Diceros bicornis minor: one gene and its partners. The protein of the gene in region 2 interacts with the protein of the main gene of each other region in a pairwise test. Links are inferred from orthologs where the notes say so. Each region holds a gene or a part of one and is shown on either strand. Other genes may lie near its edges.

The links.
Region 1: the proteins of USP25 (region 2) and TNKS2 interact in a two-hybrid assay, tested with the Homo sapiens proteins (2 studies listed by BioGRID and IntAct). The link is inferred for Diceros bicornis minor from reciprocal best matches to the Homo sapiens genes USP25 and TNKS2.
Region 3: the proteins of USP25 (region 2) and SYK interact in binary tests that used the Homo sapiens proteins (3 or more experiments, as listed by UniProt). The link is inferred for Diceros bicornis minor from reciprocal best matches to the Homo sapiens genes USP25 and SYK.
Region 4: the proteins of USP25 (region 2) and RAD23B interact in binary tests that used the Homo sapiens proteins (3 or more experiments, as listed by UniProt). The link is inferred for Diceros bicornis minor from reciprocal best matches to the Homo sapiens genes USP25 and RAD23B.

Annotation. Positions count from the first base shown.
Region 1 is NC_080745.1:57,701,773-57,708,816, reverse strand, and holds the start of TNKS2 (poly [ADP-ribose] polymerase tankyrase-2), read right to left. Parts: upstream 3,006-7,044; 5' UTR 2,741-3,005; coding exon 2,542-2,740; intron 1-2,541. UniProt on the Homo sapiens protein: Poly-ADP-ribosyltransferase involved in various processes such as Wnt signaling pathway, telomere length and vesicle trafficking.
Region 2 is NC_080766.1:18,039,470-18,046,947, forward strand, and holds the start of USP25 (ubiquitin carboxyl-terminal hydrolase 25), read left to right. Parts: upstream 1-4,465; 5' UTR 4,466-4,485; coding exon 4,486-4,530; intron 4,531-7,478. UniProt on the Homo sapiens protein: Deubiquitinating enzyme that hydrolyzes ubiquitin moieties conjugated to substrates and thus, functions in various biological processes including inflammation and immune response.
Region 3 is NC_080761.1:55,627,995-55,635,891, reverse strand, and holds the start of SYK (tyrosine-protein kinase SYK), read left to right. Parts: upstream 1-4,886; 5' UTR 4,887-5,062; intron 5,063-7,897. UniProt on the Homo sapiens protein: Non-receptor tyrosine kinase which mediates signal transduction downstream of a variety of transmembrane receptors including classical immunoreceptors like the B-cell receptor (BCR).
Region 4 is NC_080767.1:16,537,057-16,544,112, reverse strand, and holds the start of RAD23B (UV excision repair protein RAD23 homolog B), read right to left. Parts: upstream 3,008-7,056; 5' UTR 2,637-3,007; coding exon 2,571-2,636; intron 1-2,570. UniProt on the Homo sapiens protein: Multiubiquitin chain receptor involved in modulation of proteasomal degradation. Binds to polyubiquitin chains.

The DNA of each region.
Region 1 (7,044 bases), on a different chromosome or scaffold from region 2:
CGGTGTGTTGGTGCCCGCCCGGGGTCCGAGTCCGGACTGCCAGTAGTGGAGCAAGAGCACTTACTTAACTGCTAAGCCACGGGGCCGGCCCAGAAATGATTTCTTAAAGCACACTTATCTAGAAGAAATGTAATCCAGTTCACTAATAAAAAGCACCTATTAGAAGAAAAGTTCCTATTTATGTTGATTATTTTTTTCATTAACAAAAGAACTTAACTCCTCTGGGGCTGGCAACTGATTATTCTCTTAACTGAACTAAATATTTTAGATGAAAAGACTAAACTGTTCTTCTATCATTGATTCATATTCCTTCCTCTGCACAAATCTTATTCCTGTTCCCTGGAAATCAAAAAAAAAAAAAAAGACAAAAACGTGCCTCCCCTCCCCCAATAAAACCTCCAAACTTTAACTGGCTAAGAAAAAGATTTTTTTCCCCCTATGGCTTACTCTATAATGTACAAACACAAAAAACTGCTTGGTCAGGCAGTTACATAGTCCCACTACCTATGTTGAGCTTCCCATGGCATGCTTACATGCACATTAATACAATTGATAACTCACTACCTACAAAAGAGATCACAAAAGGTATTCCCTATATACAGAGAAAATGTAGCTGGATGCATTTATTTAAAAATTCAGTTCTCTCTCATTAATCTAATTAATAATTTAGATTGGATTTACAAAGCTAATTTTTAAAAAAGTTTCTTATATGCCTGGGTTAAATGCAGGGCTTTAAAGCTCTGGTTTAATGTAGACCATTAGAATTTTCATTTTATTACTCTTTTCTTATACCTTAAATTCTTAATCTGATAACCTGTACCTGATAATTTGGGTAAATTGTGAGGGGTGGGTTGGATCCTAAAATTAGGTTTTCCATTTCAGTCTGAACAAACCACATGAAATCTATGTAAAAAGTACTCTGAAATGTTGGGACAGAAGGGAGGATGGGACGGTGGGGGAGGAATAATGTCAATAAGAAGCTAATGCCATAAGGTTAAACCCCTAAATATTACTATTTTCAGATATGAACTCACTAATACACCGAATTCTTGAAAGGTAGCAACTAAGATCTTCCTTGGTTATTTTTACCCCACAGATCAAGTGAACAGAATCTAAGTAACACTACCCTTTGGACTGCATATCAGTTGGTTATGACAGTTTGCCAAATCAGTTGTTTAAGGGTGACCACATGGTCAAACAGGACAACCCAAATTAGCTGAGCAAAGGCAGCACTGATCACAAAAATTTTAGGCTAAATGGCTAAAGAAATGAGATTTGACTTTAGTATTCCTCTCCTTTCCCTTTCTGCTGCCACAGACTGTTTCTAGCTCTCCTGCCAACGGTCCTCCAAACCTTCTCCCTTAAAAAGGCTCCTCAACGGGAACTCAACAAAGTTCTAATTGATCAAGAAAGCATACCTCCTACTAGTATTTATATTTTAAAACAGGGATAGGTTAAAGCAAACAAATCTCCAATTGGTAGAAAGTGTACAAGCAATGTCTGTGAATAAGGAAATCTTTCTTAACGCTCCTCTGCTCATCCCTATTCGAAAAGAACAGAGAGCTTTAAAACCTATCCTTCTGCTTTTTCAAAAAATTATTTTAAACAATTATGTAACGCACAAAATAAAAAATCAGGATTATCAGAACCATGAGACTCTACTCCCATTTTCAATCATGCATGGCCCACTTGAGGATAGAGACAGTTGCATCTTTCTTCAAAGTGAAAAGTATAAATGCTTTATAGAAATAAGCTGAGTGTCTCTCATCTCTAGCTCTTTTAAATTCTTTAAGTGAATGTAATATGCTTATATCATAAAGTGAACCTAGTAAATATTAAAAGAAAGTAATTCAAACGATCTAAATCCCAGAACGAGGCGAGGTTAGTCCCAGTTTAAATTCTAGATCCAAGCTCAAGTACCTACACCATCTTTCCTCTCATCCCACTACTTTCCACCTCAACTTGTGTGTGTGGCGGAGGCTACCCGGCCGCTCCTAGCCTAAGTCAGATCTCAATTCTCCCAAACTCGACTATTTCCAGTTCTAGTCTCCCCAGAAACTTGCTAATAACTACCCTGATAAACCCATTAACGCTAATGTGTCAATGGCCAATTAAGCTACTCCTCCTAAATTACATCCTTGCATTTTACAAGGGCCTTGAAGACTTTAACCCAAAGGACTGATAACAGTTATAGTGGAATTTGCAAGAAGATAGATTTTGGAGATAACTGGCCTTTCGAATCGCAAGGTCTACTACGTCCCCTACTCTTTCTTGTGCGTGGAGGCCTCTTAGAGTAGCAAGACCGGAAGTTGGTACAGGTATTGTTGATACAAAACAAAGCAAAAAAAAAAAACTTCCAGTGAGTGCGGCACGCTGGCCCCCTAGCCCAACGTCTTCAGTCCTCACTCGACGAGGGGGAGAGGACCACGACCGCAGTCCTGGGGGAGCGCCGGGGGCAGAGCAGCACTGTGTCTGGTTGCGGGCCTGCGAGCGCGGGTGCGCAGGTGGGGTCTGGGGCGAGGCGGCGCTGGCCCGGGTTACCTGCGGCGAAGTGGAGCGGGGTGGACTTCCTGCCCGCCGTGTCGCGGCTGTTCACCTTCTCGGGCGTCACCAGCCTCTTGACTCGCTCCACGTCCCCGTTGCGGCAAGCCTCGAACAGCTCGCGGGCGGCCGGCTCCACGGCCTCGGCCGCCGCGCCCGTGCAGGCCGCGCCCCCGCCGGCGCAGCGGCGGCCCGACATGATCCTGGCCGCCGCCGCCGCCAGCAGCAGCGCCAGCAACGGCAGCAGGAGCCCCGGGCCCGCGAGCAGGAGGGCGAGGCCCCCCGCAGGAGACGCGCTCAGGGCCCGGGCCGCTCGGCTCCCTCCTGTCACCGGGCTCGGCGCAGTCCCATGGCCGCGCCGCCGCGCGCTCCTCGCTCGGCCCTGCGACCCCCGGCTGCTCCGCGGCAGCGTAAGCACCGCGAACCCGCCGTTCGAGCCCCCAAGCGACGCGGCGGCGGAAGCTGGCAAGGCCCCTCCTGCCAGCGCCGCGGAGCCCTGGGAGCGCACGTGACGTCGTGCCGCGCGTGCGCAGTGGTCGGAGGCCGGCCCGGCAGGTTTCAGCGAACCGGGCCGCGCGGAGGGGTTTGTGGGAAAAGTGAGGCGAAAGGCTTTGGCGGCTGGCGGAGTAGGGGCTTCGTCCCAGCGCCATGTTTGCGGTGGGTTTTGGTGAAGTCCAACGAGTCTGCTTATTGTCCTTTTTTAAGGCACGGATTTCCCGAGCTGAATTCCCTTATTGTTATTACACTGAAAAGTGCCCTTGAAAGTTTTCCCTCGATCTTACATATTGTTTTGAAATTCTTTAGTGTGGAAATTTTCTATTTTTTCACCTTCCACAATCCCTTTCTCCTGGGGCATTTCTTTTCTGGTTTCTTTACTCTCTCTTCCCCCGCAACTCTTATTTTGTTGTTTCTTGTAAGGCGTTTCTCGGAAATGAAGGAGTCTGTCTCCACTTGATGGGAAGTTTTGATGAGCTGCCCCAAGATCATTGAAAGGAAATTAGGCAAGCGATGAAAGTTTGTTCCAATTCTAAATTAACGATAATCAGCTGTCATCTGATTAATTCTCTTTCCATAGTTAAGTTTATTAGCTCAGGACTAACGAAAGGGCCCATACGTAAATCGTTATACTGACTTGGCTGAGGTGTGGATACACTGGGTTTACGCATCGCAGAAAAAACTTAATGTGTTGCAATTTTTGTGTTTTTTTTTACCATTGAACCAAGAAAAGCACAGAATTGATTCTCACGCTTAAGGTAGCCATGTAGCTGTTGATGATCATTCCCTACTTTCCATGCACTATCCTCAAGAAACTGGTTAAAAGAAAGGTATGCTTACATAAAATGATACATGTTGACATTTGGCATGCTGACAAGCATTTCCCTCCTTGTTGTTTTAACTTCTTAACCTGTTTTTCAGGAAATGCAGTTTTTATTTGGGAATGTTGACTCACTACTGTGCTAAAAGATAGAGGGTGTACACTTTGGGAGCTTTTTATAAATATGTAAATTACGTAATTATATAAGAGCATAATATATTTAGTATAAATTTAAATTGTTACATATTAATAAAATAAATATCCATGAATGCATCCAAGAACTAGAACACAACTGATACTATTGCGTTTATCATTTTTCTCCCCATTTCATCCACTTGCCAAATGTATTCCCAATTTTGTTTATTATTCCCTGTTTACTACTTTGTCCTTATTAATCCCTTCCCATGTGTGTATCTGTCAACAGCATATTGTTCAGTTTTACATACTTGTTTTTGAGCTTTAAAAAAATGCCAGTCTTTGATCTTTTTTCACTTAAGGAGATGTTTGTCAGATTCATGCATTACTTTATAGAGTTGCCTTGTGTGAATATACCACAGATTTACAATTCTTCTAGCCATTTGGTTTGTTTCCAATTTTTTAAATTGTGAACAATAATGCTATGTATATTCTTATATATTCTCCTGGTGCACTTGTGCAAGAATTTAATATGAGAGGCTTTCAAACTTTTGACCACTACCCATAGTATAAGAAATGCAGTTGGTGTCTTCAACCAGTAAACACACTCACATGTCTAAAACAAAAGTTTCACAAAATAATAAAACAATATTCACCTCTCTAGTGTTTAAAAGATGCTAATTGTGACTGTCAGTAAATGGATTACAGAACTCACAAATGAGCGGTTTCCCAAAGTTTGAAAAACACTGCAGGAAAGGACTACATAGGAGTGGAATTGCTGAGTCATAGGGAACTAGAATGTTCACTTTACAAGGTAATGCCAAATTGTTTTTCAAAGAAATTGTTAATAATGTACATGCCCACCAGCAGCATGTAGGAGTTTTTTTAATCTCTGTCTCCATCAACCCTTGGTATTGTCATGTTAATTTTTCCAATGTAGTGGGTGTAAATGGTATCTCAAAGAGGTCTTAGTCTGCATTTAAAAAAATACCTAATGAGTATTAGAGAAATGTAAATCAAAACCACAATGAGATATTACTGCACATCCATTAGGATAACTACCATCAAGAAAACAAGATAAGTGTTGGTGAGGATGTGGAGAAGTTGGAATCCTTAGTGCACTGCTGGTGAGACGGTAAAATGGTGCAACCGCTATGGAAAACAGTATGAAGTTTCCTCAAAAAATTTTAAATAGAGCTACTGTATGATCCAGTAATCCCACTTCTACGTATATATACAGAAGAATTGAAAGCGTGGTCTTAAAGACATATTTGCACGCTCATGTTCATAGCAGCATTGTTCACAACAGCCAAGAGGTGGAAGCAACCCGAATGTCCAGGAACAGATGAACGGATAAACAAAAGTAGTATATACATGCAATAGAATATTATTCAGCTTTAAAAAAGAAGGAAATCCTGTTATATACTACAACATGGATGAACCTTGAGGACCTCATGCTAAGTGAAGTGAGCCAATCACAAAAAGACAAATACTGTATGATTCCACTTATATGAAGTATATTAGTTTGTTAGGGCTGCCATAATAAAATACCACAGAATGGTTGGCTTTGACAACAGAAATTCATTTTCTACAGTTTTTGAGGCTAGAAGTCCAAGATCAAGGTGTTGACAGCTTTGGTTTCTCCTGAGCCCTCTCTCTTTGATTTGCTGATAGTCATCTTCTCTCTGTGTCCTCACGTGGCCTTTCCTCTTTTCATGTGCATCCCTGGTATCTGTGTCCAAATTTCCTCTTTTTATAAAAGGACAGCAGTCGGATTGATTAGGGTCCACCCACATGGCCTCATTTAACCTTAATTTCCTCTTTAAAGGCCCTATCTCAAGATATAGTCACATTCAGAGATACTAGGGGTTAGGGCTTCAACATATGAATTTAAGGGAGGCCACAATTCAGCCCATGACATGAAGTGTCTAATGCAGCTAGATAGAAACAGAAAGTAGAGTGGTGATTATCAGAGGCTGGGAAGAAGAGGTAATGTGGAATTTATTGTTGAATGGGTGTGGCGGTTCAGTTTTGCAAGATGAAAAAGTTCTGGAGATCTGTTGCATAACAATGTGAATATACTTAATGCTACTGAACTGTACACTTAAAAATGATTTAGATGGTATAAAAAGTGCAAATAAAGTTGAGTATCTTTTTAATGTTTTTTTTTTTGTGTGAGGAAAATCAGCCCTGAGCTAACATCCATGCTAATCCTCCTCTTTTTGCTGAGAAAGACCAGCTCTGAGCCAACATCCATTGCCAATCCTCCTCCTTTTCTTCCCCAAAGCCTCAGTAGATAGTTGTATGTCATAGTTGCACATCCTTCTAGTTGCTGTATGTGGGACGCAGCCTCAGCATGGCCGGAGAAGTGGTGCGTTGGTGCGCGCCCGGTTCTGAACCCAGGCCGCCAGTAGCAGAGCGCGCGCACTTAGCCGCTAAGCCACGGGGCCGGCCCTGAGTATCTTTTTAGATGTTTATGGTCTGTTTGTATTTCCTCTTCAATAAAATGCCTATTTATGTCTTTTGTCTATTTATCTATTGGGTTGTTTGCCTTTTGCTATTGATTTGTGGGCATTCTTTATATATTCTGGATACTAATTGTTTGTCAGCTATATGCATTGAATATATCTTCTCCCAGTTTGTAGTTTGCTTTTTTATTTCCCCAATGAAAAGATGTCTAAATCTTAATATAGTTGAATTTATAAATATTTTCATTTACAGTTGTGTCTCTGTGTGTGTTTAAGAAATTCTGTATTTTCTTCTAAATTTTTGCCTTTTGCATTTAAGTCCTTAATCCTTCTGGACTTGATTTTGGAGTATGGTATGAGATAGATATTCAGTTTCTTTTCTTGTGGCTGCCTGGTGGCATATTGGTTAAGTTCACGTGCTCTGCTTCGGTGGCCCAGGGTTCGCAGGTTCAGATCCCGGGCGTGGACATACGCACTGCTTATCAAGCCATGCTGTGGCAGGCATCCTGTATATAAAGTAGAGGAAAATGGGCACGGATGTTAGCCCAGGGCCAATTTTCCTTAGCAAAAAGAGGAAGATTGGCA
Region 2 (7,478 bases):
ACATTCAAAATTTGAAGTACGGTTTCTACTGAATGTGTATCACTTTCACAACATTGCAAAGTTGAAAAATTGTAAGTAGAACCATTGTAAGTTGGGGACTGTCTGTACAGCCCAAGTAGATGCCACCCAAGGAGAGAGGGAGAAGGAGAAAGAGAAATAGCCTGGCTTCTCCCTTTCTCTCACCCTCCAATACCCCACCTATACCTCTCATTGGCTAAATCCGTTCTGAAGCCGGCTGACTTGAGAACATGGGGGCCATGCAGGGACTGTCTTTTCTGTGATTCAGAGCAAAGCAACAGAAGTGCAAGGAATGTACCCGATAGCAAATAGGCAAAGATTATGCAGAAGGCTTAACTAACTTGCCCAAGATCACTGGGCTAGCAGTCCCGTGGTTGTTCTTTGGAATTTGTATATATGTAGCGATCATGTGCTCTGAATAGGGGAGATAGAGGTCTTGGTAAGTGCATTAAACACTTTCTGATATGTAGTTTCCTCTATCCATATATGTTGTAGGGTAATTTCAGGGAAATGCATGCCTACCACGATACAAGGGGAAGAAAGATAAGAAATGAGAAAGGGTCTGGGGACTCGAGGCCATTTTCAGTGTCAGAGTATGCCTTTGGGCATGTTCAAGGTAAGGGGAGCAAATGATCAAGGCAAGAAATCTCTACTTTTGTGATGACTCTCAGTTGACAAAGTAGCTGTTTCTCCATGTAGACCTTGGTTTCAAAGTAAACCTTGTAAAGAAATAGTTCACATTAGACTAGACTCCTTTTTTAATTCACAGAACTCTTTCTCCCAAAACTATTCCAGTTGAAAGTGTCAATATTGGCAGAAAACGTGGAGGTACTATCCTTTAACATGTAAATGCATCTCTTACCAATCTAAGAGGTTATGGGATGGGGCAGGAAAAAAGATATTGGTGGCACTTAGGTATGAAGTGTAGAATTAAGTGAAGTAGATTGAATATGACTGTTATAGGCTAAATTGTGTCCCCCCAAAATTCACACGTTGAAATTCCAACCCCTAGTACCTCCGAATATAACCATATTTGGAGATAAGGTCTTTAAAGAGGTGATTAAGTTAAAATGAAGCTGTTAGAGTGGGCCCTAATCCAATATGACGGGTGTCCTTACAAAAAGAGGAAGAGATACCACGGCAGAAGGTCAAATGTATATGAAGAGGCAGCAAGAGGGTGGCATCTGCAAGCCCAGGAGAGAAGACACAGTAGAAACCAACCCTGCTGGCACCTTGATCTTCGACTTCCAGCCTCCAGCACTATAAGAAAATAAATTTCTGTTGCTGAAGCCACCTAGTCCGAGGTATTTTGTTATGGCTGCCCTAGCAAACTAATAAACTGACCAAAGAAGCAACATCTAGAGACTCTCAGTGTGTGAGGCACCATTGACAGCTGGAGATGCTAACAATGATATGCTCTGTCATATAAAACAATATGGCTGCCAGGACCACAAAGCTGTCCCAGTTGGAATGAGAAATTAGAGTTAGAGATACACTATAAAAACATAAATAAACTTGTTTTCTTGCCTTCATGGCTGTTCATTTAATTCAATACACATTTTATTGTGCACGTGTTAGGCAGATAGTACTCTTACAGGTGCTACTCTATGACCACCCTATCACAGAATGACATCTCTATCACAATGGTGACATCATAGCAACCTACTCTTTGAATGATTGCTTATGGTTACCTTATCCCAGAATGTCAATACACCTAAAGAAGGGAAATAATTCTGATCCTCCTCAAAGTAGATTTAAGAACCACTCTTTTGTCATGGAAATTGTTCAAATCTATACTATGAATTGAATGTTTCTCTCTTATTCACGTCTTACAAATGTGCTTTGGCAACATATTAGACTTTTGGTGTCCAGAAATGGATTTTTCAAACTCTTTCTAAACAAAGAGAAATGAAGAGTCAAGATAGAAGAATACCAATTTCCCTGGTTCACATACAAGGCACATACTGAATATTGTTAGAAACATCATCTTGATCCAAAATAGAAAAATAGACTTTTAGTTAAGAACTAAATTTTTAATTTCATGTGAAATCTATCACTTTATGTGTTTACCTGAGTGTCAACAATCTAGAGTAACGCAACAGTTTAGGAATTATCAAGCAATGTCCTGAGGATATATAATTCCAAGAACCATACATATTAAGGTGGACTCATGAGCAGCAAAACTGACATTGTGACAAATTTTTAAAATGAATTAGGATATCTGGCAGTGGGTCCTATGTGCAATTTTATCTCAAATTCTCATCCTCTATTCATTCCAATTGTACATTTTCTAAAAAAGAATGTCCACAAGGAAACTTGAAATTTTCTTCTCGAAGTTCTACAAAACAACAATTAAGATCAAAAATAAAAATAAGTAAAAAACCATTAGAAGTAAGCTGGGAATGAATGTTCAAAGTGGGCAAGTATGACTACCTTATAAAGAGCGTTATTTGATGATTATCTGGTGAGCTTTGATAAGCAATTTTTTTTGTACAATTAAAAAATTTAACTCAGAGGAAGATTTATTGCCAAATTCTTGAAATTAAAATTTAGTATCTGGCAATATTTTCTTTTAACCACAGTACTAGATTTTTATGTTAAATTTAACTTTCTTAAATTCAAATGTCATGAACTGGATAGATTTTTTTCTTTTAATCTATAATATGGAGAAACAGGAAGTTGATATGTTGGAAAGAACTTTGGTCTATAAACGAGAAAAAATGGACTCTAGTATGCTTTCTTTGACAAGTCACCATCTTTGGGTCTCAGCATTCTCATAAAAAATTTGTGCATTCTATCATAAGTGTTGCATTATTCCTAAAATTCTGGGTTTCCAACCATTTCACAACTTTACACATTCTTCTGGAAAAGACATGAGATATCAATAAAATAAAATTTGTTAAAATCAAATGAGCAAATAAATATGAAGACGCAAGGGAAAGATCTTAAAATGTAGTTGAAGATATCTAGGGTACACAGCAAAGACAGTTGTAAAAGCCTTAAGAGTTACCATGATCCATGATTATTAAATAAAGCCAGATAATATTTCAATGATCATTTATCAAGCTTTCTTTTCTTGTCATCAGATTAAAAATTATACCCGGATTTGCATATGTGAGTATAGTATTTCTAACAATATGCACTGATTATTCCGCCCCTCCCGCAGCCGCACCCTCACCTCCTATCCCCAGATTAGCTCGTGAAACTTGAGGTATTTTTGAGGCTAGAGGTTCCTTTCTCAAGGTTAGGTTATCCTTGTAATTCCATATACAGTCAAATATTCCATGCGGGGTGGTTAACTGATAATTGGCAACTAGGATGCTAGAATTATGTACCATCTAGGTTGCCTGTTGTATAGATCATAGTTCATTTATATCAAATCTCCGGGAAATAAACCTTATTTCTCCAGAGCCTAGCAGTGACTGGCACATGTTTGAATGAATGAAGTAGATGGAGAATGTCAATATTCATTTATGTAATGATTAGTTAAGGAAAAAAGTACATTTCAGCATGAGAACTTCTGATAGCCCTTTGCATAAATCACACTTGACTCTTCCCTTCAGGCAAGTTGACTGCCTGTGAAATTCCTAGAAAACCGAGGGGAGAGGACCGGAGCCGGCGTTCCGGACCCAACGCGGTTTGGGGACGTTACCGGGCCTGGAGGGAAATGTTCGCTCTCGGAGGAGTTCGGAAAGCCGGCGAGCCGCCAAGTCCTGGGCACGGGGAGGAAGCTGCCCTCCGGCCTCGGCTTGGAGCTTTGCGGAGCCAAGGACAAGCGTCGCGCAAGCTGCCGCAGGGTTGCCTCCGAGGCCAGACCCGCGGGGCGCGCCCTCGCCCCCCCGCCGGGAGCGCGGGCCCGCGCGGGGCGGGGGCGGGGCCGCGAGCGGGGGGCGGGGCACCGAGGCGGCCCCGCCCCGCCCCACCGCCCCGCGGGTCACAATGTAGGGTTAGGGCGGCCGGCGGGCGGGGCTCGGCGGGGGAGGAGCCGCCGGGCGGGGGCGGGGACGGCGACGGCGGTTGGGGGAGGGGAGGGGAGGAGGAGTCGCGGAGGGAGAAGGACAGCGCCATTCCGGACGGCCGCTCCCTCCGTCCCCTCTCCTTTCCCCGCAGTGGCCCGCGAGCCGCGGGCGAAGGAGCGCGCGCGCCTGACGCGGCCCGCCCTGCTCGCGCCCTCCCGGCGTCCGCCGTCCGCTCATGGCCCGGGCCGCGGCCGGCGAGCCGCGCTGAGGCGGGCCGCGCGGAGTCGTGGGGCCGCCGCCGTGGCCCTCGCTGTCGGCGCCTCGCCGCCTGCCCGCGCTGCCCGCGCACGCCGGCCGCCATCGCCTTCGCGCCTGGCTGGCGGGGGCGCTGTCCTCCCCGGCCGTCCGCGCCGCTCCCTGGACCTCGGCGGAGCGCGGCAGCCAGGGCCGGCGGAGGCGCGAGAAGCCGGCCGCCGCCGCCTGGGGCGCCGCCGGCGCCGCGGGGGCCATGACCGTGGAGCAGAATGTGCTGCAGCAGAGCGCGGCGCAGAAGGTGAGGCGAGCCCGCCGGCCGGCGCGGCCCCGCTCCGCTCCTCCTTCCGACGGGCGGCCTCCCCCGTCTCGGCCCGGAGCCCGGCCTCCCCGCCGCCGCTCCGGCCTCCGCCGCCCGGGGCCTCCTCCCTCGCCCCTTCCCGTCGCCTTCGGGGGCTCGTTCCCAGGGCCGGGCTGCGTGTGGGAAGCGGGGTGTAGTTAGGGGGTTTCAATCCACTTCCTTCTGGCCGATTGTTTTTCTGTAACAGACGGTGGCGGGTATTTTTTGAGAGCGACCCATACGTTCCTCCACTCCTCTATCTGGTTTCTTAAACTTTCTCCTCTGCCTTCCTTTTTTTAAAAAATAGAATAGCCAGTGGTCATCCCTTCTGAACACAGTTTGTGTTTTGAAGATAGGAGCATTCCAGGCCTGCTGTATGCAAATGGTCTCCACCAGAATCGAATTGCCTGCCTGGCGGGGCAGGTACATTTACCAGGTGGGCTCTGTGTATAGGTAGAGGATTTGGTTGGTTCCTTTTCCTCTTTCTGTTTCTTTTTCCTTTTTTTTTTTTTTTTCGTTCTTGAATATAGAGATTGGCCCTTAAGAAAGGAAACCTTTCTGGCCATGTTTATTCCAGGAATCTTTTGTCCCCTGAGTTTGACCTTGTTCCGTCGCTCACCCTTTACTCTTGACTCAGTCACGCATTCAAATGGTCACTTACCTAAGTAAAAAAAAAAAAAAAAAATCTAGGTTTGTGAAGCTTCAAACATTTTATAGTGAGTAGTGAGAAATGCTCCTCTTATTCTAGATTTGGCTTTCAGAATCTCAAGTGCACCATCATGGCTTGCACCATTTCCTGAAGAGTAGTAAGCTATGAGTTAATTTTTTTTTTGTCATTTGTGTGAAAAGCGTTTTGGGCAAAAGAAAAACATTGCTTTAGTCGTGTTGGAATTAGGGGGGTAACTAGAGTTTATTGTGAGCAGCTACCAAGGTTGTGTTGGGTTTATCTGGGTGAGTAACGAATGCACCACCCTGTTGTAGTTATGTCCTACCTGTGCTTCATTTTAGAATAAGGTCTGATATCCTAAAATGGACTATGTATATACTCACAGCCTTCTAGATTTTTGCTTTGAGATTATTTTTAGAATTTGATGATAGTACTTGAGGTAATTGAAGATGCTCAAGAATTTTGGAAAGCAAGGATAGTGCATTGTTATTTTAGGCACTTTGGGAAAGTTGTCGTTGGAGCTCTTGTGTGTTAGTTAACTGTTACTGGTTAAATTTAGAAGATTATTGCAGGCTGCAATTTATTTACAGTGAAATAATTCTGCATTTAATATTGGGAGTTTAGAACAGTTTATCTCCTAATCCCCTTTATTCTATTTTGAATACCTTAAACTTTAGTTTTTGATGTTGAGTATGTGATAAAGCGTTAATACTTAGAGCAGGATCTCGTGGTCAAATGTATACTAAGCAATATTTAATAGGTTTGGTATCATTTTTGTTTCTAGTTCTCTTCAGTGTTGAATATTTAGTCAACACTGCCAATTTGTTTCAAAGTGGGAAATGTAGCTCATATTTTTCACATCTCTTAAATTTGAACAATGGCAAGAAGTTTGTGAGTTTTTTAAATTGATTTTCGTTAAAGTACTTCTGTAGCATAGAATCAGATAATGCAGATCTGCCTAGTTCAGAAGTTTATGCATAAAATTATGGGATCAAGAATCAAATTACTGACAGTAATCTTGGCCATCAAGTTTAATTTCCTAGTTTAATGAACCCCTCCTTACACAAAGGGAATAGTTGTTAATCCAGAATATTACCATTATGATGCTGTTTTTAGTGTGTGTGTCAGATCATTTCATTGATATTGGGGAAATTTTTTTAGAGCAATATAATGCATTTATTTTTGTATTTCCATCAAGCTGCTTATGTTTTTTTTTAAAAAAGAAACACTTAATATGTTTGTTTGCTTTCCGTATTGACATAGTATTACTTTGTTACTCATATTGGAACTATTTAAAAAATACTTATATGGGTATAAATACTTTAAAGCCATCGACTTCAAATAAATTGATAGATTGAAGTCCACCAAGTTGGTAGCTAGAAAGTGGACTTAAGCTAGTAACTAGGAAGTGAACTTCATACTTCAGAAGAAACAAAAGTGAAACTCTGTTTTCACTTAGCAACTTTATGAATTATCAGTAAAATGAGGTAACTAGTTCATATTGCATAACCAAAATTGAGCCTATTTTCTGCTCTCCTTAAAGTGATTGTGTGTGTGTATGCATGTATATAGCATTAGTTTTATGTAAATAGCTATATTCTGGTGGTTGGAACGGATTCCTATATTTTCAGGATTCTTTTTTTTCTTCCAGAAAGATGAATCTTTCATATAATAATATAGTAATTCTTAGTTTAAAAAAAAGCACAACGCAGAACTTTCATAGGTCTTTTTTCAACTACAAAGTAGCTTGTCACAGTATATTTTAAGGCAGGGGGCTGTCCTTTCCTCTGACGTGTTCTTTGCTTGATGCTGAAGTTTGGCCATGGCAGGGAGTTATGAGATATAGTAAAACTGCAGAGAGCTGCTTTTCTGAGGTTTAGATGCCACCGGTGAGGTGGAGTTGGGGGCAGATTAGCTGCAGTTAAATCCTGCCATAATTTGAGTCTCGAACATGCATCTTCAGCCTTTGAGCTTGATATTGACCTAAGTGTAGGATCCTTAGAGCTCAGAAATTTGATACCTAGATTCAGGTACCAAATGAGGATTCTTTAGGGCAGCAATAGAAGGCTTCCTCCCAGGGACCAAATTGATTTATAGAGTAAAGTGAGCTGGATACTATTTGCATTAAATGCATCTTTCTGAGTTGAATAAAAGATCAGGTTCATAAGGGCAGGTATTTTGCCTGTTTTGTTTCACCCTGGTTCCTTGCACATAGTATGTTTGAGTAAATATTTGATGAGTG
Region 3 (7,897 bases), on a different chromosome or scaffold from region 2:
AAATAAAAGAGGGTATAGCCATACAAAGGAACATCATTGGGCAATAAAAAGGGATGAAATACTGATACATGCTGTATGAATGAACCTTGAAAACATAATAAATGAAAAAAGTGAGTCACAAAGAGCAAATATTGTATGATTCTATTTATATGTAATGTCCAGACTAGACATATCTATACAGACAGAAGGTAGATGAGTGCTTTCCTAGGGGTATGTGTGTATTGAGGGGATGGGTTGTGTGGGAGGGGGGAGAAGGGAGAGTGACTACTAATTGGTACAGGATTTCTTTTTGTGGTAAAAAAAAAAAAGTTCTAATATTGATTGTGGTGATGGTTGCACGACTTTGTGAATATACCTAAAATAACTGAATGGCACACTTTAAATGGGTAAGTCATATAACATGTAAATCATATCAAAAAAAAGATGTTAAAATTGAAATGTACTTTTGAAAAAAGAATTAGAAGATCTTGGTGTGCAAAAAGCCATTTGCTTGAAGTGATTTTCATTAAGGCAAAAATAACAGCTTGAACTACCTTCCAATGAAGTAAGTATATTTTTAAGGAGGAGTCTGCTGGGCAAATGCATGGTCACCTGCTGAGATATGAGAAGGGGGAGTGACTTTTGAGCATAGATTTTCCCAACCTTTTTCATCAATCTCCAGTGCTTAGAATTGTGTCTGGCAATGAGAGACACAATAATTGTTAGCTGGCTTGAATTTCACAAAAAATAAGCAATCAGAGGTGCACACAGGAGACCTGACTTGCTCAGAGCCCCGCGCCCAGGAAAGGGCAGCATTTGGAGGATAGCCCACGTTTTCCGACCCCCGGTCCGTGTTCTTACCCCGGGGTTTAGACGCATATGGTCTAAGTTCAAATGCCATCCTTTGTCCTCAAGTAACTTTTCTGTCTTTCTGCTCAAAACCTCGCTGACAGCAGAAAAGGAAGGAAGTCTGCCATTTGTAAGTGAAAGGTCACTTTTATATCCCAGTTGAATTGGTGAGGGAAGCCAGCGTTCTGTGGCATTATGGCAGATAGACAGATGTGACCAGGCGTTGGGAAGCACTGAGATAAAGTAATTCATCTTATGATTCTGTCAGCAATGCCGGTCTATCAAGATTAACTTGCCTTCATAAGACAAGATAGGGTTGAGTCGTTACATTTTGTAAAAGGTACAACTACATTTTAAAATGGTTACAATGGTGAATTTTGTGTTGTGCGAATTTTATCTCAACTTAAAATAATTTGTATAAAAGTACACGTGATGCTGTCCTAACTCTGGAGCTTCCTCCTTTTTGTGCCAATAAAATGTTATGAATTCAATAGTTGGAGTTGAGTATTCTTTTACTTGCAACCTAAAGCATCCTATTGGATATCATGTGTACCCTGTGTATTTTTAATTTGAAAGAGATGAAAACTGAGGACCTTGCACTCTAAATATTAAAATGTACGATATATATTCTATAGGAAAAAAAATGGTGTGGCATTAAATTCTGGATAAAGTGGTGAAATATTCAGGAACTATCTAGAAAAAAAAGAACCTTCCCTCCCCAAGGAAAAAAGGGAAGGGGGAGAAAACAAAAATGTAAAAGTTACCAATAGTAACCAAAAGGAGAAGCACTTAAGGAGGTAAACTTCAAAAAGTGCTGGCTCATATAAAAACCGGAAGTTTGAGAGAATCACGGTGGGGTCATGAGCCCACCTCCCGGAAAACACATCTTGTGAGTCCACGAAATCCTGACAATTCTCACTCAGATCTCAAGAGAAGAAAAAGGAGTAATTGCTAATCCTTAGCTTTTCCCCTTTTTGATGATGGGGTAGTAAAAATGGCTGCGGTGGAGATGAGGGGAAAAAGAGAAATGGCAGCAATCTGGCAATACTCTGTCACGAGTGTGAGGGCTCCAGGGGCCCACAGGAATTGGGAGACTGAGCTGATGTGCAAAGGTCCCCCCAAAAGAGTGTGGTAAGCTCTTCCCTCTCCCTCTGCCATGAGGGGTGAGCCCTCCTAGGTTCAACCCAGTCTCCTGTGGAAGGAGGAGGAGCCCAGTTAGCACAGCAGGACTCCAGCTAAGCCCCGCCTGCTCGAAGGCTGTAGAAAATCAGGCATAGAAGGAGTCATAAGCCCTCAAACTGTAACCCAAAAAGGGAAAAGAAAAAGGATCTGATATAAGGATCCAGGAGCTGTCTCCCACAGAGGAGCAGAGCAAAAAGAAGGTCTGGAGAGAGCTGCCAAGCATGGGAAGGTCAGACAATGAACTTGTAACTATGCTGAAAGGGATAAAGCATCAGCATAAAAAGATAGAGGATAAAGATTCAGAAGGGTTTGTATTTCTCAACAGCAGCACTTGCAGCAAGAAAACAATAGAAAAATGACTTAAAAATTGTGCAGAAAAATAATTTCTGAATTAGAATTCTATACCATCCAAACCATCAATCAAAGTGGAGAGTAGGGGGCCAGCCCGGTGGCTTAGTGGTAAAGTGCGTGCACTCCGCTGCTGGCCAGGGTTCAGATCCTGGCTGCGCACTGACGAACCACCTCTCCGGCCATGCTGGGGCCGCGTCCCACGTACAGCAACTAGAAGGATGTGCAGCTATGACATACAACTATCTACTGGGGCTTTGGGGGAAAAAAAGGAGGAAGATTGGCAATAGATGTTAGCTCAGAGCCGGTCTTCCTCAGCAAAAAAAAAAAAAAGAGGAGGATTAGCACGGATGTTAGCTCAGGGCTGGTCTTCCTCACCAAAAAAAAAGTGAAGAGTAGAACCTTTTTAGATATGGAAGGTCTTTAAAATATCTACTTCCATTTCTCAGGAAACTCCTCGAAATTGTGCTCCACTGAAATGATGGAATAAACTGAGGAAGAGAAAGGCATGGAATACAGGAAACATGGACTCCTAGATACAAGAAAAATGAAAGGAAGGCCAGAGCAGAAGCAGAAGAAATGAATCCTTGAGAAACTGTAACCACAGGTTGACCAAAATTGTCCCCAAATTTCCAGCCCAAATTTGTATCACCTTGATGGTCCAAAAAAACATAAGCTGAGAATCCACCTTAAATTGTCCAAACACTAGTTGCACCCTAGGCTTCTGCCAGAAAACAAAGGCAAATTTCCTCTGAAAGAAAATACCTTTTTCCTAGGCCTCAACGAATCTCCACAAATAATTTTTCAAGGAGGATGAGCGGCTCACAGTTGAATGTAACCAAGAACACAAGGAAGCCAGGCACCATGAACCAGAGCCAGTGGAACACTTGACAACGTAAGCAGACACCAGAGACTTCATATGGTGGAATTAATACAGCAAACCCAGAAAACAAATATATTTATTATTTTTTAAGAAATAATGAATCTACAGGAATGGGAGACTTTAAAAAGTGACTGTGTCAGGAGTCTCCAAGACCATCTGGGTGTGAGGTGCCAGGACTCAGCAGAGTCACAGCTGAGATTTCTTACAGTGAAAGACAAAAAGCAAAGTCTGCAAAGGGAAGCGGCACATGGGCCCAGGAAGAAAGACTGGGAGAAATGTGATGACTTTTAGGAAGATTTTTGTCTAGGTATTTGCGTGATGATTTTAACATTTTTATTTAAAAAATTCATTCCAAGAATACTAATTCACTTTTAAGTGAATTAGTGAGAAGGACCACAGCAGTGCTAGAGGGGGGCTTGGAGATGGATTTAGAACTTCACCTCCTCTCATTAGCCTCCCCTGAGAAACAAGCAATCTTAGCAAACACAGGACGGTCCCCAGGCTCCTACTTCCAACGACACCGCCAGCTCTCAAGGCCTCCGGAATAGAGACATCCGCAGCCTCCGTTCAGAGAACAGTGGCTATTTCGTTGTTGGTTTGAGGCAAAGTCAAGTCCAGTGGTTAACAAATGTAATCATAATAAAAATCCTTCACTTGGGTTAAAAATTTGACGGCAAAATGGCATGGAAGAGAATGTCCAAGTGGGAAAGTGTCAACACTTCTGATGACCTTATTTTTCTCCATGGCAATTATACTAACACACTATACATTTGATTTCGGTTATTGTATTTTGGCTCAGGGTATAGCTTTTTAAAATAGGCACTGCCAACTACTGTTACCAAGAATGTGAGGGTCTAGAAGCTGTTTTATGGGAACATTTTGCAACAGAGCTGTCCAACAGAAAAAAGCGGGAAGGGAAGCAGGTAGGTGTTTTTAAACCATTTTAAGGACTACAGAAAAGGATTAAACTTCATTTATGAGCCCCAGACGTCAGAACCGGTTGTGGGTAGAAGGAAGCACGTTAAACTCACTGTCAAGAGCCTTGTAATCATGAAAGCCCTCAGAACACGGCCGCCTCAGACATTGCTGGGCCCGCCCTGACGTGCCCCGTGAAGTCTGCCGTTCACCTAAGGGAGAGGCCACCTGGCGGATTCCTGGGGCCTCCTGGTCACCGGCCGGCAGGAGCGTCTTGGGTTGGTGACTGGGAATACACAGCACAGTGAACAGGATTCTGTTCCTGGGCAACTACACAGCGAAATGGGCGTGCCCCTGAGTGGCTGTCGGTCCTTAGAAGGATCAGGCTGCAGGCGAGGTGGCGAGAGGTTCCTGTTGGTGACAGGGCCCCTTCCTTGTACAGGACCAGCCTTCTGCACCTGGGAGGAAATCGGAGCGCCCACCAGCTCCTCTCCCCTCTGCACTCGCGCCTCCCGCTTCCCAGGCCCACCCCACGGACCGGGTCCCCGCGCGCTCCGGCCGCCGCTGCCCTGCCCGGGGCGCACGGGACGCTGGGGCACTGGGGGCGCACAGGGCGCTGGGGCCGCTGGGGGCGCTGGGACCATCTGGGCGCTGGGGCGCACGGCGGCGGGGCGGGCCCGGGGCGGCGGGGCGCGGCGGCCGGGAGGAAGTGCGGGGCCTGCCCGGGCGCGTTAAGGAAGTTGCCCAAAATGAGGAAGCGCCGCGCGCTGGGCGGCTGAGGCGACTCCGGCGGCGAGAGAGCGAAGAGGAGCGGACGGCCCCGCGCTGCGCCCCGAGCTGTCCCCGCGGACGCACAGCCCGCCGACCCCGGAGTCCCGCGCCCCGCCCTCGCCACACCTGGCACAGGTAGGAGTGGCCGCGCGCTCCCTCCGCCCGTGAGAACCTGGAGGACCTTTGGGCTGGGGCGGGCGGCGAGGGAGGAGGCGGCGGTCCTCCTCCTGGGCGGGTTTCTGTGCGCCCAGCACACGGGGCAGGTACGCTCAGGGCCTTCGGCCTCTGAAATCAGGGAAATTTTGATGAGATCATTCGGATAAAACGATAGGCTGTGCCAGCTTTTCTCCTAAGCCTAGTGCCTCTCGGGGTTCGGCTCCGGCGCGGGGCGCGGCGGCTGGGGCTGGCCCGCGGACTGTGCGGGCCGGGACTGCGGGAGCCCGGCGAGCGCGCCCAGTGCGGAAGCGGCGGGTCCCGGGAAACGCGAGCGGGCATCCGCGGGCGCAAGAAACTCGTCCCCGAAAGAGCACATTTTCGTTTGGCCGTGCTTTACATAAATCCACTGGAAAACTCCACTGTATTTAGCGAAGTGACTCAATGTAGAAATGTTCGTATGCCTGCAAAGGTTTTTATATACATTTCTTTTCCTACAGAAAAAAAGAGCGGTTGCATAAAAACGTGCAACTCTCTGAACCACTACTAAAATTTACCATGATTCCTCTTTTTTCGGCGCATTTTCATGGTAAAGTAACTTAATTAGCCAGTGAGTGGCTCGGAGAGCAGGAAAGTTTCATGTAGTAAAATGAAAATTTGAGTTAAATATTTTTTTAGCAATATGGCTCCAAAACCTGAAACCCACCTAAATAATCGTACAAATGCTATTCATTTTTTTGGTCGTTTGAATGTTCTAGAACGAGAAAGACAATCATTGGAGAAGTTAGAGTTTGAGTCTTTTTAAGTTGGAAACGGTGTTGCAAATTATTTTCATGAGTTTGCCTGACTCGCCAAAGGTTCCATTGCACCTGGTAAAACTGTTCACTGGAGCAGTCATTCTTTTTCTTAAATCCCCGAAGCATTTCAGCGTGTAGTTTAAAGAGCTGGAGATGTCCCACATCTGAATCTTCACATTAAAAAAAATTAATTATGTGGTGACTGAGAATTTCTGGAAGAAATGGAATTGATTCTAGTATCTGATTTCTTTGTTTTAGTAAGAACAAATTTATTGTTATTACACGGGCAGCATTTTAATTAAATGCAGTTAAATTTATCGATGTGCCCCCACCCCCCAAAAGCCCAGATGGTGCATGGATATACTTGTATTTGAGCTAAAAGATTTTAATACTTGTAGAATATTAGATGTTTTAAGTAAGAAATCTCGGTTGAAATTATTTTATCAAATCATTTTGTTCTATCTATACATTTGATGTATTTAGAGAAATTTTGCAGTAAAATAGAAATTGATTTGTATTATTCTCTGTATTGGGAGTGCTTCGATATGTAAGATTTTATGAATAGTCTTAATAACTAGAATGTTTTTAATGTTTTAATCTGGGATAAAAATGAAGTGTATACTTTAGGTCTTTACCTTTCCTGAAGGATGAAATTGGCAGAAAGATCATTTTGCTAGATTTGCATTTCAGAAATAACTCACCACAGCCTTCTCTAGGCTCATATTTAATATTCCAAGTGTAGGTCTGATTTCTCCGTTTTTAAACCAAAGACTTCTTAGTAGGATACCACTTATGCAGCACATAGCATGTCCATGACCATTATCCAAAATCCTTGTGCTAAGATATGTTTTGGAATTCGGGATTTTTCAGACTTTAGGATTCAAATTTAGAATCTAAATTTCAGCGTTGAGAGGGACGTTTCTCAGAATGCAGAGAGGTGCGCATGCGTCCTGACACCATGTGCGCCATCCGTCTTCAGCGCGGTCTCAGCAGTGCCCTGCCGTCTCACCCGTTAGTGTTTCTGCGCTGACCGTGTGAGTGGTCTCGCTAAGGGGAATAAAGACAGCCTACAAATAGCTGCGTGTCAGCCTAGGGCAAGTGTGGTCACTAAATGAGCTTCCCTAAAACTTACCCCCAAACCCTGTTTTTCAGAGCTTTTTGGAGTTAGGGCCCAGGGACTGAGCCTATTAGATCCCATCGAGCTGCCGTTTGCTTTTGAAAGCGAGTTGCATTTCTGTTGCCAGAAAGTCACACTGTCCAGGGATTAGATGAGCAGTTGCCGCCTTTTCAGGAGCCCTGAAATGGCGAGACCTTCCTGACTTTTCAATGATAGTGGCCCACATGGAGATCCTCCGAGTGAGGATGGATGTCTCATCCTTAAGGAGGTGCTTTCAAACAGGAACCGTACTCACAGGGGGTCTCGTCCCCCCTTACAGCTGCCGTGTGTCCTTGGGAGAAGTACTGTTTCAGAGCCCTGCGGTGGCTCTGTCTGTCAACTGTGCCTGAGGGATGGCGGGCTCTTTTATAATCTGAGCTCATTTTTGCTTCCTCAACTTTCACTGTATAGATTATTTCAATTATCTGCAAACTCACCTCTTCTCTCCCCGTTTGCAAGTTTTAACATTTTCCTCCACTTCTGGATTGGGTTAGCTGTAAATGAGTGGAGAAAAAAATTAGGAATTTTGGCCTTTGGGGAGAATTTTTTTAAAAACAAATGGACATTTGTTTTTCTTTTGAAGCAATTGAAATCAAAAGGCAGAGTCTTAAAGAGAGATTGGAGTTAAACTGACTGACTTAAATTACGTCTGGTCATCTCACTCTTCTACTTTGGATTTGAACAAGTTAGTTCTTTTTCACTTGGAAAAGGAGGTGTTTGTTTTTTGTTTTTTTACTGAGCAATTGTGGGAAGATAAGAAAAAACTAGGCTGATTGGACTTTAAAGGAAGAGTTCATTTCTTCATTTTGATATAATGGCAGAGAAGCTTTCTATTAGCTTATAATTGTGTCTGACCAAATGTTA
Region 4 (7,056 bases), on a different chromosome or scaffold from region 2:
AAAAATCAAACAAGGACAAACCTTTGAGCAGCCAAAATAAGAGGTCTAAGAGACCAAACTCTGTTAATTTTATGCAGATCTTCCTAAAGGCCTCACTAAAATGCTATTTTTTCCCTGTATTTTAGATCTGTTTCTAATATCTTTGGTTATCTAGTTTTCACAACAATTAGAAAGAGGACACTTAGAGTCTCCCTATATTAATATAACTTTTATTATTTCTTACTGGAATCCTACTCTCAAGTACTGTATCAAAAATAAATATTAATTGAAAAACCACTATAAAGATGAAATTAAAATAGTTCTAGCTGGAGAAGCATTTCTGAAATTTAAACCCATTAGAATAAAAGCCTACATGTCATTTTAATGTAAATATTCCATATATCATGAATTAAATATTTTCATTTCTTGCCCCAGATTAACAATGTTAGTGGTCATATTTATATAAATGGCAACAAAATTACATGTATAGAAATAGCAACAAAAAGCCGAAGAAGCCACTCTCTGTAACCTTGAGGCTTCCAAAAATATTCTTCTGGAAATATATTTATAATTCATACAACTTAATACATTCCCTTGGAAATAAATTGGAAAACAGCAAATACAGTTAAGAATCTATACAAATATAATATTGGCTCTACGATAACGTATGCATAAAGTGCCTAAAGAGCTATACAAATCTTGTAGAACATAAATATTTCAGCGGAGCTGTGGAAAGTCATTGCATAACTTCAATAAACCCACAGATACCTACAAAAAATTCAGGTTTCAATAATTCTGGAACTAATTCTGAATATTATAAGCTGGTAAAGTTCCTGTAGCACTAACATTTATTACTACAAAGAACCAGACTCAAATAGACATTTTATGTAAAATTTTGTCTGAAAATGTTAAACAGCTGGATTTTAACTTTTAAATCCTTTAACTTAGTACACACTAAGCAGAAAAGGAATATTCAAGAAGAATTTGATATTTGTAAATAATATCAATCCACAGCGTGTTGTCAATTACTTCTGAGGACTCTGAAAAGTTTCTCATATGTAGTTGTTACCTCGTGCACCTTTAAGAATTTACCACCCAGAATACTTCTACATACAATATCTTGAAATCAAATCATTTTGTGCCACAATTTCAAAAAGGTTGGGAACTACGTTTCTTAAATAATTAAAGATGTAGAGAACTTTAGATTAAACGAGATAGGTAAAATAACACTATATCCTCACTCCGCTGATTAATAATCGATACCATTTATTGACCACCAATTAAATACCATTTAATCTTCACACCTATGCAAGGCAGTTATTATTCCCATTGTGCAGAGGGTGCAACTAAGAGATTAATTTGCCCAAGGTCATATCAAATAAATTAGAGCCACAAATGGAACTCAGGTCTCTTCAATTAACACCGAGGCCCCTGATCTCCACCAAAAATAGAATCAAAAATATTTTTTTAAATATAGATGGGCAGAAAGTTGCTGGCTTAAACTTAGCATTATGACAATCTTAACGGAGTACAGAATCACAACTCCACAACATAAGCAGTAAATTTACACTCATGGCATTTTTAGATTCTTGGCAGGAAGTTGTACTGATTTCGACAGCGGCTCTTTTTGCAGTCACAAATACAAAGATGGCATGAGAATTTACCAGTGGACTTCTGAAGGGTTCAAGGGTTTAAGTGCAGAAGAGATTCAAAGTAATTTTCTTTTTTCTCCCCTGAAACGCTATTAGGTGGGGGTTGCGGGGAGGGTGCAGTGTTTCCAACTCCCACAATTCCAAGACGTCTAACACAGAGGCCTCGTTTATCTGGAGTTGAGTTTGAGCCTATACTGGAAGGGCTCTAATACAAAAATCTTCACCACCAAACAGGCCTCAAAGTGCCATCTACGTGTGGGTGTGGGTTCGATGGCGGGAGAATTGCAGCTACATGATTCAACAATACTAATAAAAGGATCACCAATTCTGGGAGAAAGGGGGCCAAGAATTCATTTCACCACCCCTCACCACTCATCTCTCACTCTGCTGCAGACCGAACCGGATACTTATCTTTTTAAGGCTCATTATCTCCGGTTACCGCCTCCTAGACCTTAGCGCCTAACCCGTCCACGCAGGAGTAGTGGCGACGCCTACCTCTCCCCCCCCAACCTATGCACCGACACCGGAGCCGGCTCCACCGCCCAGGCAGCCCTGCCCCCCCCGCCCCGCCCCAGCCCGGGCCCCGCTACCGAGAGCTCCCAGGCCGAGGCCTCCCGTGCCCCGCCGACGTGTGCTCCACGCCATCTGCCACCAGGCCTGCGGCGTCCGGCCACCGCTTCCCCTCACTCCCGCCACAAAGCCCGCGGCCGACTCCGACGGGCCGGGACCCCGGGCCCTGCCCGCGCCCGGAGCCCGAACTCCACGCTTGCCGCGCCCCCCCGGGTGCGCCCGGGGGCTCTCCCCGCTCGGGCGCGCCGCCGGCCCTGCTCGGAGCTGAGGCCGGGGCCCCGCACGCAGCGCCGCCGCGCAGACCAGGCGCGGGGGCCCCCTCGCGCTCCCCGCGCCCCGCCCCGGGCCCACGCTCCCCGCCGCTCGCACCGTCTCCTCGGGGTCGATGTCGATCTTGAAGGTCTGCTGCTGGAGGGTCTTCAGGGTGACCCGCATGGTGCCGCCGCGCAGCTCGGCTGCCGGGCCTGCTCCGGGTGCTGGCCGCTGGGCGGGGTCTGTGGCCTGGCGGGGCCCCGGGGTCGCCCGCGCGCCTCGCGCACTCAGGAGGAAGGCGGTGGGGGTGGGGGCTTGTCACATTCGCCTTGTGGAGCGGCCTCTCCCCCAGGCCTGGCCCCGGGCCACGCCGCTGCCTCCGCGACTGCGGCCTTCCCCGCGAGGTTGGGCCGCTGTGCTTCCTCACGCGCCCGGCACCAGCCCCGGAGTCTGCAGGAGGCGCGAGGGGCTCTGCGAGACCAGCAGAGAATCCGCTAGCTCACCACAGACTGGTGGCCGCCATCATCGTGACTCGCCGAGACGCGCCCCCTCCCCCACCCGAAGAACCTGGGGATGGTGCCGGGCTAGCGAAGAGCGCAGGCGTAGGGTGCGGCGAGGCTGTGCGCAGGCGCGGCCGGGAACTCCGCCCCGGAATTGGGGCGGGGCGGATTGCGGCTCTGGAATGTCGGCGGCCTGGATCGGGCGTGCGCAGGCGCAGTCAGTGGGCGTTTCGGGGGCTCGCGGGGTTTCCTCGTCGCGTCTGCCAGCCGGGGCGTTCTCCCGCCCGCAGCTGCTCCGCCTACGTGCAGGCTCCGCCCGGCTGCCCGAGTTGCGCAATCCGTAGCCGGGGAAGCTCTACGTGCAGACCGGACTAAGTGGCTGCCCAGCCCTGGAGCTGGGGAACTAGAGGGCGGTAGGTCAGGGCGGTAGGTCGGGGCGGGGTTTAAGCGAAAGGGTCGTGGAAACGACAGTGATAGGCCGGCGCTCACCGGGCGTTTGCTGTGTGGCTGAGCCTTTGTGGTGGCGGCTGATTCTTTAGTCCTGAGAGCACGGACTCCAGCGTCAGATTGCATGGGTGGAGCTTGGGCCTAAATAGAACCACCCATGTAGGGGGTCAAGTTATATCACTTCTCTGGGCAGAAGTGTCCAATGGTTCCTCATCTCACCCAGAGTAAAAGTCGAAGTTATTGGAACTGGACACATAGCCCCTGCCTCTCAGCACATCTCAGGAATCTCCCGGCGTGCTCTTGGCGTTGTTGATGGGTACCAGGCATGCTCCCGCCTGAGGGCCTGCCTCTGGGCTTGCTGTTCCAACTCTGAGCCCTCTTTCCCCAGATACCTGGGTAGCTCGCTGTCTCACTTCCTTCAAACCTTTGCTCAAATGTCACCTTCTCAGTGAGGTCCACCCTGGATACCCGACTTAAAACCGCAACTTCTCTAGCTCCCTTATCCTGCTCTGTTTTTTTCTATAGCATTCATCATCTTCTAATTACCATATAATGTACATATTTATTTTATAGTTTATCATCTTTCTCCCCAGACTGAAGCTGCACAGAGGCAAGATTTTTGTTGTGTTAACCGATATACCCTCAACACGTCTGGCACATAGCAGGCACACAAATGTTTGTGAAATGGGTGAAGATGCTTCCGGTGCCTCATCAGTAAGATGGGGATAATAATAGCACTCAATTCCATTGATGATTGGAGGGCAGTGTTGAATAATTTATGTAAAATCTTAGTACAAGGAACATAGTAAGCAGACCATAAGTAGTTAGCTATTTGTACTATGCCCATTTACAGATCAGAAAACTGAAGTAGAGAGATGTTGAGTAAGGTGCCTGGAGTCACCCACCTAGTAAATGGCAGATCTGGAGTTTGAACCTAAGCAGAATGACTCCAGAGCCTGTGCCCCAGGTGCCCAGCTATTCTGCCTCTTAATAGGGTACGCTGTGGCGCATTTGACTTACAGTGGTTCAAATATAAAAGAAAGTTACAGTTAGACCACTAGCTATGTGACCAATTGCAAAGTACCTCTCTGGGCCAGTGTCCTCACTGATAGAATGTCACTGCTTGGTTTTCCATGGATTCTAGGAGATCAGATATAATTCTTCCATGGAACTTGCCCTGACCAACCTCTCTCTCCACTCACCTGGTATTTCATCTTTCACAGCACATATCTCCCTGTATTGTAATTCAATATCTAACCCTCTGCCCTCTGTCTTCCTGTATATCTACTGTTAGTCACCATGTGATCTCGTCTTGTCCCTTGTTTTGAAATACCTCCAGTGTGGACTTCTCTCCTTAGCCATAGATGGAGTTAGCCAACTGCCTATACAATATCTTCACTTCAAATATAACCAGCCTCTGAAACTTAACATGGGCAAACAGAACCATTGATTTCTTTTTGGACCTCCCTTCCCCCTGAAACCTGCTCTCAGTTTTCCTCCATCTTAGTTCATTGCACCACCACCCACCCAGGTACTCAGACCAAAAATTTAATCATCCCTGATAAATCTCTTGCCTCCTTTCCTCCCCACCAACCACCAGATCTAATACATTAGCAAGTCCTGTCAACTTTATTCTCCAAATTATATCCCAAATTCAGCCATTTCTCCCCATTTCTACTTCTACAACCCTAGGCTAATCCATCATTATCCTTCCCCTGCCTCCCAGCTGGTCTCTCCACTTCCAGTCTCTCCACTTCCACTCTTTTCCCTCAACAGCCTCCCCAGTAGTCAGAGTGGTCTTTTTCATGAAACCATAAATCAAATCGTGTCACATCTATTCTTAGTGCTTAATTACACTTTAGAATAAAGTTCAGACTCTTTACCGGGCCTCAGAGAGCTCACATGATCTGACTCCTGCCACGTTCTCCAGCCTCATCTCTTTCCTCTCTCTCTGTCTCAGTCACTGTCATCCCTCCGCACCACCTTTCTTTCGTCCCTCCGGCAGGCTAAGCTGGTTCTAGCTTCTGGGCCGTTGCAGTTGAGGTGACTTCAGCTTGAAACTCTGTCTTCCCAGATCTTTGAATGGCTACCTCTTTTTCATCATTCAGGTTCCAAGTCATGTTTTACTTCCTTAGAGAGGACTTCTCCAACAACTTTAATAATATATAATAAACATATATTAACCCTTTACTCTAGACAAGACGCTATTCAAGACACTTTACATGGATAATCTCATTTAAGACCCACAAAACTCCATAAGATAGGTACAACATTACCCTGGTTTAAATTTTTTCATGGATCTACCTGAAATTATTATTTTTTAAGTTGTTTATTGTCTCTCTCACATTAACACCCACTCCCCGTCTCTGCTTCTTGGGGAGAGGAACTCACTGTCTTTTTCACGTCTCTTTCCCCACCACCTAGAACAGTGTCTGGAACAAGTAGGTGCTCAATAGTGTGTGTTGACTGACTCCCAACTCAGTTGTAAGCCTCATGAGGCCAGGTGTTGTGTCAGCCTTGTTCATCATGGTATCTTCAGAGTCTAGCACAATATGGATTCTTGATATATGTTGGTTGAAAAAATGGTGAAGTCACTTTAGTTATAATTGACTACAGTTGTAAGAAAACATGAAAATATTTTAGAAACCAGAATATGCTGTACAGAGTTATAATGTTAAAACTTTTCCTGCTGCATCTGCTATTGTCTCTTTGCAGAAAAAGAGGAGAGGTAAGAGATGCCTCTCCATATATCAGGGTATATCTTTTAAAAAATAATCTTTTGCTCATGGCGAAAAAAACACACAAAACTGTAGAAAGGGATTGATTGAAAATAAAAATTCCCCTCCCCAGGGGCCGGCCCGGTGGCGCAAGCGGTTAAGTGCGCGCGCTCCGCTGCGGCGGCCCGGGGTTCGCTGGTTCGGATCCCGGGCGCGCACCGACGCACTGCTTGGTAAGCCATGCTGTGGCGGCGTCCCATATAAAGTGGAGGAAGATGGGCACCGATGTTAGCCCAGGGCCGTCTTCCTCAGCGAAAAAAGAGGAGGATTGGCGGATGTTAGCTCAGGGCTGATCTCCTCACAAAAAAAAAAAAAAAAAAAAAAAAAAAAAAAAAAAAAAAAAAATTCCCCTCCCCATTCCTAGAAATAACCATTGTTTTGAGTGTCTTAAAAATTTTCTACGGGGCCAGCCCGGTGGCGCAAGCGGTTAAGTGCATGCGCTCCGCTGCGGCGGCCTGGGGTTCGCCGGTTCAGATCCCGGGAGCACACCCAGGTGTCGCTTGGCAAGCCATGCTGTGGCGGCGTCCCATATAAAGTGGAGGAAGATGGGCACGGATGTTAGCCCAGGGTCAGTCTTTCTCAGCAAAAAAAGAGGAGGATTGGCAGATGTTAGCACAGGGCTGATCTTCCTCACACACACAAAAGAAAAATTTCTAGATATATACAAGAATATATTCCCCCAAATAGTTGTGACAATAGTAGATTTGCAATGTCAATTAATTGAAAGATTCACCCAATGATATTCTCTAAAGTACAGTGTTAAAATAGCATGTTGTTTTTGTTTTCTTTTAATTTCTAGAAAAACTGTGTGCCAGATATACCCACTCTTGGCGCAATAGCACAGCCTGGACAGGCTATATACCTCCTTGTAAGATGTAG